Linked DNA regions of Drosophila melanogaster. The protein of the gene in region 2 interacts with the protein of the main gene of each other region in a pairwise test. Each region holds a gene or a part of one and is shown on either strand. Other genes may lie near its edges. The genes, in order: PHDP and CG13742.

The links.
Region 1: the proteins of CG13742 (region 2) and PHDP interact in a two-hybrid assay, tested with the Drosophila melanogaster proteins (one large-scale study listed by BioGRID).

Annotation. Positions count from the first base shown.
Region 1 is NT_033778.4:23,882,588-23,886,433, forward strand, and holds PHDP (putative homeodomain protein), read right to left. Parts: upstream 1,854-3,846; 5' UTR 1,726-1,853; coding exon 1,449-1,725; intron 1,354-1,448; coding exon 1,160-1,353; intron 892-1,159; coding exon 700-891; 3' UTR 549-699; downstream 1-548.
Region 2 is NT_033778.4:9,084,074-9,089,827, forward strand, and holds CG13742 (uncharacterized protein), read right to left. Parts: upstream 3,560-5,754; 5' UTR 3,558-3,559; intron 3,498-3,557; 5' UTR 3,485-3,497; coding exon 3,233-3,484; intron 3,178-3,232; coding exon 3,014-3,177; intron 2,948-3,013; coding exon 2,841-2,947; intron 2,741-2,840; coding exon 2,520-2,740; intron 2,460-2,519; coding exon 2,305-2,459; intron 2,254-2,304; coding exon 2,142-2,253; intron 2,020-2,141; coding exon 1,872-2,019; intron 1,820-1,871; coding exon 1,648-1,819; intron 1,645-1,647; exon of another isoform or gene 1,592-1,644; coding exon 1,291-1,591; intron 1,250-1,290; exon of another isoform or gene 1,229-1,249; coding exon 671-1,228; 3' UTR 627-670; coding exon of another isoform or gene 589-626; 3' UTR 529-588; downstream 1-528. Other genes in the region: CNT1 (concentrative nucleoside transporter 1), read left to right, coding at 1-287, 348-528, 589-626; Dbp45A (DEAD box protein 45A), read left to right, coding at 3,838-3,913, 3,969-4,510, 4,569-4,735, 4,793-5,151, 5,218-5,371, 5,435-5,702.

The DNA.
Region 1 (3,846 bases), about 15 Mb from region 2:
TCAAATCAAATTGCAACAAAACTATTTAAAAAACGGAAGAGTACGTTTTATATATAGTTAAAAGGCTAAATGATATTTGTATATTTATGTATATATTTAATATCTGTATATACGTTTCACTAATGAAGTGTAGAAAAATGTAAAATGAACAACGATTTCACAGTTTATTAAAATCATTCGAGGGTGTTGAAAGGCGGGCACTACTTATAAATTGCAATATTAAGTTATACATCTGGGCACATATGATTTCAATAAACTGCAATTCAATCTTGATCTTGTTAATTAGATCTGAAAGGTATTCACCGCCAATCCCTGCGGTGGGCACTCCACAACAATTGCTATATTGAGCGCACCGAATCGCCACCATCAACTGATTACACGCCCTAATGCCGATCCAATCCACTTTTTCCACCCGATAATGGGATGACAATTTACCCCTGAAGGGCGTGAGGTTTGGTACTTGTAGATGGTGACCCTTCAACCCCCATTCAAGTCCTTGTTTTTCTTCCCACAGGCTTAGCCGGCTGAGCCCTCAAAAGGGTGCTAAGCCAGTTGTCCCGGATGATATGAAAACAAGCAAAGTGTTACACAGATCTTATTTATTTAACGCAATTCGCTCCAAATAGTCAGTAAAAATAATATCAAAATAACTGCATTCATCAAAATGTATACTAATATTTACATAGATATTAGTGGATTCTATATTTGATCGTATAAGCATTTCATTTGACGGCCATGGCCATTCTGGGGTCCCTTGAGAGATGGGCCCAGGTATTTCGATCCTGCTACAGGATTCTTCCGGCCATCCAATTTGCTCGACTTGTCCTTCATTATGTAAATGGCATGCCTCTCCTGCTTGCGAAACTTGGCTCTTCTGTTCTGGAACCAGACCTAAAACACACAATGGTTTTTTTTTTTTTTAATTTCGATTACTAAGTCGTTTTGTATCCTTCAACAGGATATGACTAAATTCGTTTCGATTGTAAGCTGGCTTCGAGAAACCTATAATATTTGAACCTATCAACAGCAGATCGAGTTCTTTTCAATAGTTATATTATATTATGTAAGTATTATTTGTTATATGTTAATTATTGAAATATGTGTATCCTAAACTACCCACTCACTTAACCAGCAATTCAATCTCATTAGTTTTCCTCACCTGAACTCGAGCTTCCGTCAAGTGCAGCTTGGATGCGATCTCTTCCCTGGTGTAGATATCTGGGTAGTGGGTTTCCAGGAAGATCTTCTCCAGCTCGTTCAGCTGGTTGGACGTGAAAGTGGTGCGAATGCGCCTCTGTTTTGATTTGTCGGTCAGGCTCAAGCCGTCGTCTCCATAGGACTTCAAATGGAAGTCTATGGCGAGGTGAGAGTTGGTTCAAGATTACAATCCATAATCGATCCATCCAGGTGCACTGGCTGCAGGTGGAACTGATGGCCACTGTACTTACCCGTGTTGTAGGAGCCAATGTTATGGGTGGCCGGGTAAAACTCGGAGACAGTGGTGATTTTGGAGAACAATAAGCTCGACTCCTGGTTGAGGGAACCCCGGATTGCGGACTCGTTGGCGCAGAGCTTGTAACTGGAGTCAATCATGAGGTTGTAGTGATTTATGTGATTGGCCACGGAGAGTCCTCCTCCATTGGCGCCGCTGTTGTAGAACTCCGAGTTCGCGGTGTACAAACAATCCTTGTCGAAGTTCGCCTTGTTGAGCAGTGAAAATTCCATCGCATCTGCAGGTAAATTCACACACGGCACTCGATTGAAATTTTACAGCCCGCTAATGAGTCATTCGGCCATAAAACACATAGTTATAGTAGCTCCGCGGCCGCACACACTTTTAACTGCCCTTGAATAAATAAGCTTCGATTACGATTGTATCAACTACAGGACATCCACGTTGGACGAACAAGGATGCTGCACTTGTCTCGGGAGAGCGGGACGGAAAATTTCATTCGTTTCCGCGTTTGGAGGCGGTCCTAACGAGCTCCACTCGACATAGGGGTGGAAATCTGACTTTCCGGCGCGTGTCGTGCACTGCGCGAAAATTCACCGCATTTCCCCAATTGACTTGTCACAGCATGTCTAAAGAATTGGTTTTGGTTTTAATTTCATTGATTGCATCGCTGTCTGTTGGCTCTGATCTAATCTTCACTCAGAAATCTTCTTTTCAATGAATATTTCTTCAAAATCTGAATATTTTCCAAGCTCCATCTTTAAGCGAACTTTTCTTTGAGTGCACCAATTTTCACAGGCCTCAAAAAGCAACACTCAGAAGATTAAATTGGCTTATCGGGCAACCATGACGCTGGGATGTCCTGTCTGAGCGATTAAAGGAAATGCTTCTCTGGGATAATATAAAAAGTAAGAAAAATGAAAATCCTCTTTACGTTGCAATAACTCTTAAGGAACAGCCAAAGTAACATAAATTATAAAATATATTTAAACTTCATATATGAAATGGAAAGGGTATCGGACAGTCCGTCATCACGAGTACAGCACTTCGCCAACTTGATAAAACAAATGGTGTTGTACCGCACACAATGGATAAGAGACACCTTACTATCTTTTCTTGTTTATAACATTGGGCTGATTGAAACATTGTTTAAAGTCACTGGCAGGATACAACCCCTGTTTTCGGAAACAATTATTTGCTCTGCGGATTATTTCGATTAGTTAATTCCTGCTAATCAGAGTCCTGCCTAATTTTTATTTACTCTGCGCTGAAGTCCTTTTTTTTTTGGACACCCTAATGCTGGATTGCTAATAGGATAGGCTGGTTGTTCCATGTGCTGAAGCCATTTAGTTAAATTTTCAAAGAAAAACAGTTCCAAATTCAATGTATCTATCTTCGGAAACAATTTCATTGGGATCAGTTTAGTCAAACATACGAGGTAAAAGTTTAGAATGTGCCTCTTTTTCCAGTTGAAAAATGGTCTTAGTTGCCTTTGTGGATTTTACACATTTGCATGGTAGAGTGAGCCTTTTCTTTTCTTAATCAACGAATTGGAACGACTAAGTCTCTAGGAAAACAAAGCCACCTAATAGATGCACATCATGCTCAAACTAACACTCGTGCAAAAAGAAACTCTACTTTGTAGTAATCATTACTTAAATCGCAAGTCTATGTAAATCGGAGAATTGTTATGGCAATCATAATAATACAACATTACGACATTCCGAAAGTTTTGGAATAAGTTACTGTGTTACATTTTAGGTTAAAATATATCCAATATATGTGTAAAATTATAACCTTTCCAATTGTAATTGTATCAAACGCAAAGATATGAACTCATTTTACATTTAATAAATAGTATAGTAACCAGATGTTGGAGGTGATCGACCTGAACGAAACCCACCTGCATTGTTTGCTTAACCCGATCTCAAACCCACCCCGAAAATCCTGTAAAAACAGCAACATATTATTTAGTTATAGAGCATCTAAATGGGAAGCTAGTTTAAGTAGGTTTCAACCTAGTTGTGGGTGCAAATGAGCCTGGAACTACATGCATCGAACAAGTATCAGGTTCTATTGAGTCATTCTGAAAACAACTAACGTTAGTTTGGAAAACATAAAGTAAAGAAAAAGGGTTTATCATGCATAGGTGTGTGTTGCACTTACACACTAACTTGGTATAGTGAAGGCTTTTTCTTTTGCTAATCACCGAGTTGGAACGACTAACTAAGTCTTTACAAAAACTCAAGCATATGGATATACTTAAACCTATGAGTAACTGAACGGCTAATACCCTAAGATTTATTCAATTGTAAACAAATTCGAGAAATTCGACTTAAAAATGCCTTCTATCGGAATTTCAACAGAATTACAGGAATGTTAATGATCCCTAT
Region 2 (5,754 bases):
CAGCAGCCTTGTTGATTGTGCTCGGAATCGTCTCGAATATCATCGCCTTCCTAGCCATTGTGTTCTTCCTAGACGCTGTAACGGAGTGGATTTTCGAGCTAATTGGACTGCATAACATCACCCTACTCTACATTCTCTCCCAGATCTTTATCCCGATTGTCTTCGTGATGGGCGTGCCGTGGCACGATTGTCAAGCAATTGGCCTGGTGGTGGCCCAAAAGTCGTTCATAAACGAGTTTGTGGCTTATAGAAACCTGGGCATATTGGTTAGCGATAAAAAGGTTGATGTGAGTACCCATCTGCATATTCTATTCTTATAGATTATTTTAAAACTAGTATTCTTATAGCCGCGGAGCGCTGCCATAGCCACTTTTGCCCTTTGTGGGTTTGCCAATCCCGGATCCCTGGGCATTGTCATCGCTTCGCTGAGTGCAATGGCACCATCCCGACGATCAGACATCACCAGGGTAGCCTTTCGATCCTATTTCGCAGGCAGTTTCGTTAGCTTTACATCCGCTTCGCTTGCAGGTAAACTGTCTTTATTTACACGTTATTTTTAACCGCCTTATCGCACAACATCTTAATTAGGGATTCTTATTCAAAATGAGTACACAGGTGGTAATTAATTGATTTAGGTAAGTGAGCGATACGAAAAGCATAGAGCAGGGAGCTAGGGTACAATTCCACTCAAATTGGCCATTACCTTCTTGAGCAATTCCCAGTCGGCAGCATCGAAATTCGCGGTGCACTGGGTCAGTTGAAGAGAAGCCTCATATATATTACGAAGGATTTCTTTAGGCGCCAATTCACTCCGTCGACGTTTTAGACTAGAGACCGGACATTTATGATCTCCATGGCGAATGTAGCTTGATTTACTGAGATCAAATGAACCGTCGACAACAGTTCCGGGTTCGACATGCAATGCCTTAAACAATGGGTATATTGCATGGCGGGCACTAAATGCTCTTAGTTGGGCGTCATCGCTGACTTTGCAGGAGTCGAGGAATTTCTCGCGATACCAGTTTGTGCATCCAGCATTTGGAGGCAGTCCCCTAAGTATAAGTAATTTGGTGGATCCATTCGCACGCGCTAGTAGTTTGAAGTAAACATTAGCAAAGCTAATGCTCTTGTCAATGCCTAAAAGTTTATTGGCCATTTCCGATGTCCGCTGAAACCAATGGGAACAGTCGATTTGATCGTGGTGCACCAAAAGTTCCAGTAGAGCAACCTTTGGGTATAAAAAATCAAGGTATGTATATCCATTTTATAAGTGTACTTCTACTTGCTTACCACTTCATAGTACAACTCAACTTTTGTGGGCGCTGAGGTGGAGATGAGTTCTAAGCGCTTCAATATCTTCATTCCCACGTGGCCATCTGATTTTGCGACGACAGACAGGTGCCGGAAGTTTTGAATGCTTATGACAGGAAGTTCCTGCTTTCCCAAGCAGTGGAAGTACCTAAGGAATCGTTGTACATGCAATTGGCTTGGATTTGTGGAAAACATGGCGTAAGAATTATTGCACTTATGCCAGTGAGCCATAGCCTCTTTTATGGCATGATCTGTCCAGCATTTGTTGGCCTCTTTTAGCCTAAAAACATAGAATAGTGAAATAAATTTTAAAATGTATGATTTATAATTACTAACCGAAAGCACAGCATGAGAATATCCGCACACACTTGCGATGTAATAAAATCCTTTTGAAATATGCCGGCACAGAAATACCTATGTAGTTCTATGTTACCCACTAAATACAAAAGACAACCAAACGCATCCAATACTTGATTATAGCGTTCGCCGTGAACAAAATTTTTAGCATCTGTGGGCTCAGTAAGTAGTAAGAAATAAATATGATCGAATCGACACCTTACCTTTAAACAAATATTCAAAAGTTTGTTGTAATGTTCGGCAAGTAGATGGGAGCACATCCGCATCGTCTGTAGACACAGCATTAATAAAATCCATGCAAGCGTCGAAGTAGTCAAATTTTGGTGTACCAAGGACACTGGATATTAAATACTAAAAGGACAAATTTTAGTAACATTAACAAAATCTGATGATGTATTGTATGAATGAATAGTTTTCAATCAAAGTCTATCCGAAGACATTTATTTGCAAGCGATTTCTGAATTTCATCTTACTTCTTGACATTTTTGGAACTTGTAAAGCAGCTCTAAAATATCTAGTACATGTGGTCGTACTAACACAGAAATTAGCTGTTGCTTCTCGATGTCAGAGTAATGTGATGGCCTCCTAAAAGAAAATACAATTATTGCAAATAACCATTTCATTTTTCAAACTTACGTTCGTTCACACATTATTAAGTCCATCAGACAAACAGCTACATCATCATCAACATACACCACACCTTTTTGAAGAATATGATATAACAATACAATGTAGGTCCTGATACCATCTACAAGCTCCTCTAACTTTTCCGCAGGAACAATACGATTGTCCTAAAAAAAATGTCTTGTTAAATAAACTCTTTTACAAATCGTAAGCTTTGTTATACGAACGATGTCAAAAGTACTATTCAAGTGAACGGTAACCACATCACATAGATGAAAAACAGTTTCCCTAAGCCAATTGGGCAGTTTTTCGTCTGTAGGATTAGCATGCCAGGTTGTCATGAAGTGCAAGCAAATATGAGCCAACGTCTCGCCTGTCTGTACAGATAACTGCAGATCACCAGTGCGTGTTCCTTCGGTATCTGCGATTTCCATTATCTTTTGCATCACTGACAATTGTTTAATATAAAGTCTATAATTAGTCTACAACAACTTTCAGATAATACTCAAATTTTTGGGTGTATCAATTCGTTAGTATTCCTAACTTACAGGTCGCAAGGCGAGGGTGGACTTCTGTCAAATTAATGATAGAATCCTTTATTAAAGAAAGCGTTTCGAGTTGAAGATCCGCAACAATCTGGCGATGACTCTTATCGCTGAATGATGTAAGCAAAAATATATAGAAATATTTTACATATAGGTTTTATCCAAGCCCCTCTTACCACATTAAACAGAAGTCGATAATTGTAAAGACAAGATAGGCAAGGATTTGAACCAAACGTTCGCCTGCTTCCAGCAATCGATCCCTGAATGTGGATACAAATTCTTGTGCCACAGACATGAGTTTTATATGACCGCTGTGGACTTCATTGCCAGTTTCTGCTTCCTGAGGACGAATTTAAAGTTAATAGACTGAAGCGCATTGTGTAAGAATTACCTACGATCGTGAACCACTTGCACATTTCCCGAGCTGCTAGTACACAATACCCGGAATCGTCGATGTATGCTCCTAATAGTTTGGTGAACCACAATGTCAAGACATCCACAGGATTCGCGGATTTATTTGCGATACATGCTGAGCAAATGGAAACCGCCGAATCAAAGTCTATCATCAGGATGATGTCCTTCTGGTCTATAGCCACCAGCTCACTGTAGGCTACAGATGCACCCAGGCTATCATGGTTTTCGGACATCTTTGCATTGAGTCTAAATCGAAATATTCAGTGTGTTTACAAAATGATCGCGCCCATAGATGCGGAATCTTACCTGTCTAGAGCGTGACTATTGTCGATTAATTATAAAATGTATTATTAATTTTATAGTGAATTTTTTCTTATTACTCGCCAATAATTCTGCGGTTGAAGTAAATAAAAAATTTAATTGAATTTAAATTAAAAATGCGTACTAAATACAGCTAACCACTCACACGGAGCAAAAATTAAAAACGTATCGATAGTTATATACCGATACAGAAGACAATACTTCCATCACTAATACAGCGCACGTTGTTTTCCTTTTTTATTTCGTTGTATTTTTATTTACCGAAATGCAACGAAAGGAGGCCAATCCCTTTCAGATCCTGGGCCTACGTCCATGGTTGGTTAAGCAGCTGACCAAGTTGGGTAATGTCAAGCCGTCCACGGGTTTACCCAAGTAATTAAACCATTGCGCTTTCAGGCCTGAAGGGAGCAACTCCAATCCAACAGAAATGCATCCCAGCGATATTGGCGGGCCAGGATTGCATTGGAGCTGCCAAGACGGGCTCGGGCAAGACCTTCGCCTTTGCCCTGCCCATTCTGGAGCGGCTGAGCGAAGAGCCAGTGAGCCACTTCGCCCTGGTGCTGACGCCCACGCACGAGTTGGCCTATCAAATCTCCGAGCAGTTTCTTGTGGCTGGACAGGCGATGGGGGTGCGCGTATGTGTTGTCTCTGGCGGCACAGACCAAATGGTCGAGAGCCAGAAGCTTATGCAGCGACCGCACATCGTGGTGGCCATGCCCGGCCGTCTCGCGGATCACCTAACCGGCTGCGACACCTTCTCCTTCGACAATCTGAAGTATTTGGTTGTTGACGAAGCGGATCGCATGCTGAACGGAGACTTTGACGAGAGCCTATCCATCATTGAGCGCTGTTTGCCAAAGACAAGGCAAAACCTTTTCTTTTCCGCAACCATGAAGGACTTCATAAAGGAGTCCAGCATATTTCCCATTGCCAGCGATGTAAGTTTTATGAATACCCTGTTGAATGGTACTAATAGATATCTTAATCCGAATGTAGTGTTTTGAATGGTCGCAGGACTCAGACGTGGCCACTGTAGAGACTCTGGACCAGCGTTATCTGCTGTGCGCCGACTACGATCGCGACATGGTCTTAATAGAGGCACTAAGAAAGTATCGCGAGGAGAACGAAAACGCTAATGTCATGATCTTCACCAACACAAAAAAGTTAGTTGCACAATAATAGGAAGTAAATTCTAAGGATTTAATAACGAATCATTTTAGGTACTGTCAGCTTCTCTCGATGACACTGAAGAACATGGAAATCGATAATGTTTGCTTGCATGGTTTCATGCGGCAAAAGGAGCGCGTAGCTGCTCTAAGTCGCTTCAAGTCCAACCAAATACGTACACTGATCGCTACGGATGTGGCCGCCAGAGGTCTGGATATACCCAGCGTCGAGCTGGTTATGAATCACATGCTTCCCCGGACACCAAAGGAGTACATCCATCGCGTAGGCAGAACAGCAAGAGCGGGGCGCAAGGGCATGTCCATCTCCATATTCCGCTTTCCACGCGATCTAGAGCTTTTGGCCGCCATTGAGGAGGAGATCAACACCAAACTTACAGAGCATCCCATCGATCGTAAGTTTTGTTGGAATTAGTGGCACACAAAATAACTATCTTTAATATATATATTATATAAATTAGAGCGCATGGTGGAGAGAATCTTTATGCAAGTAAATGTCACGCGCCGTGAATCAGAGATGCAATTAGATAATAACGATTTCGACGAGCGAGCGCAAAACTATAGGCGAAAGACGTGGATTATGGAGGGGAAGGACCCCGACCAAATGGAAGCTTTGTAAGCAGTGGAAAATACGCATATTCGTTGTATTTTATAACAATTTTTGTATCCCATCCACAGGTATCGTAAAAAACAGAAGGATAAACTAAGGGAAATACGCCGAAAGAGAAAACTGCAGCACGCAGAGCCGGCAGCCAGCGAAGAGGGCAAAGCTCTCCTACAGGACGAGCGTTTTAAATCTGTAGACAGTGCGAGGTTTGAGAAGAAGGGAAAAGGACGAAGTAGAGCCACCCAAGAAGATACCCCAACCAAGCCACTGAAAAGGCTTAACAAAGAAAAACCAGTTGCCCAAAAGGGCAGAGCAGATGTCAAGAAAGATAAAGCGTGATGTTTAAATATACTTTTATAAAATAACAAAATAACTTTTGAGCTTACACTGC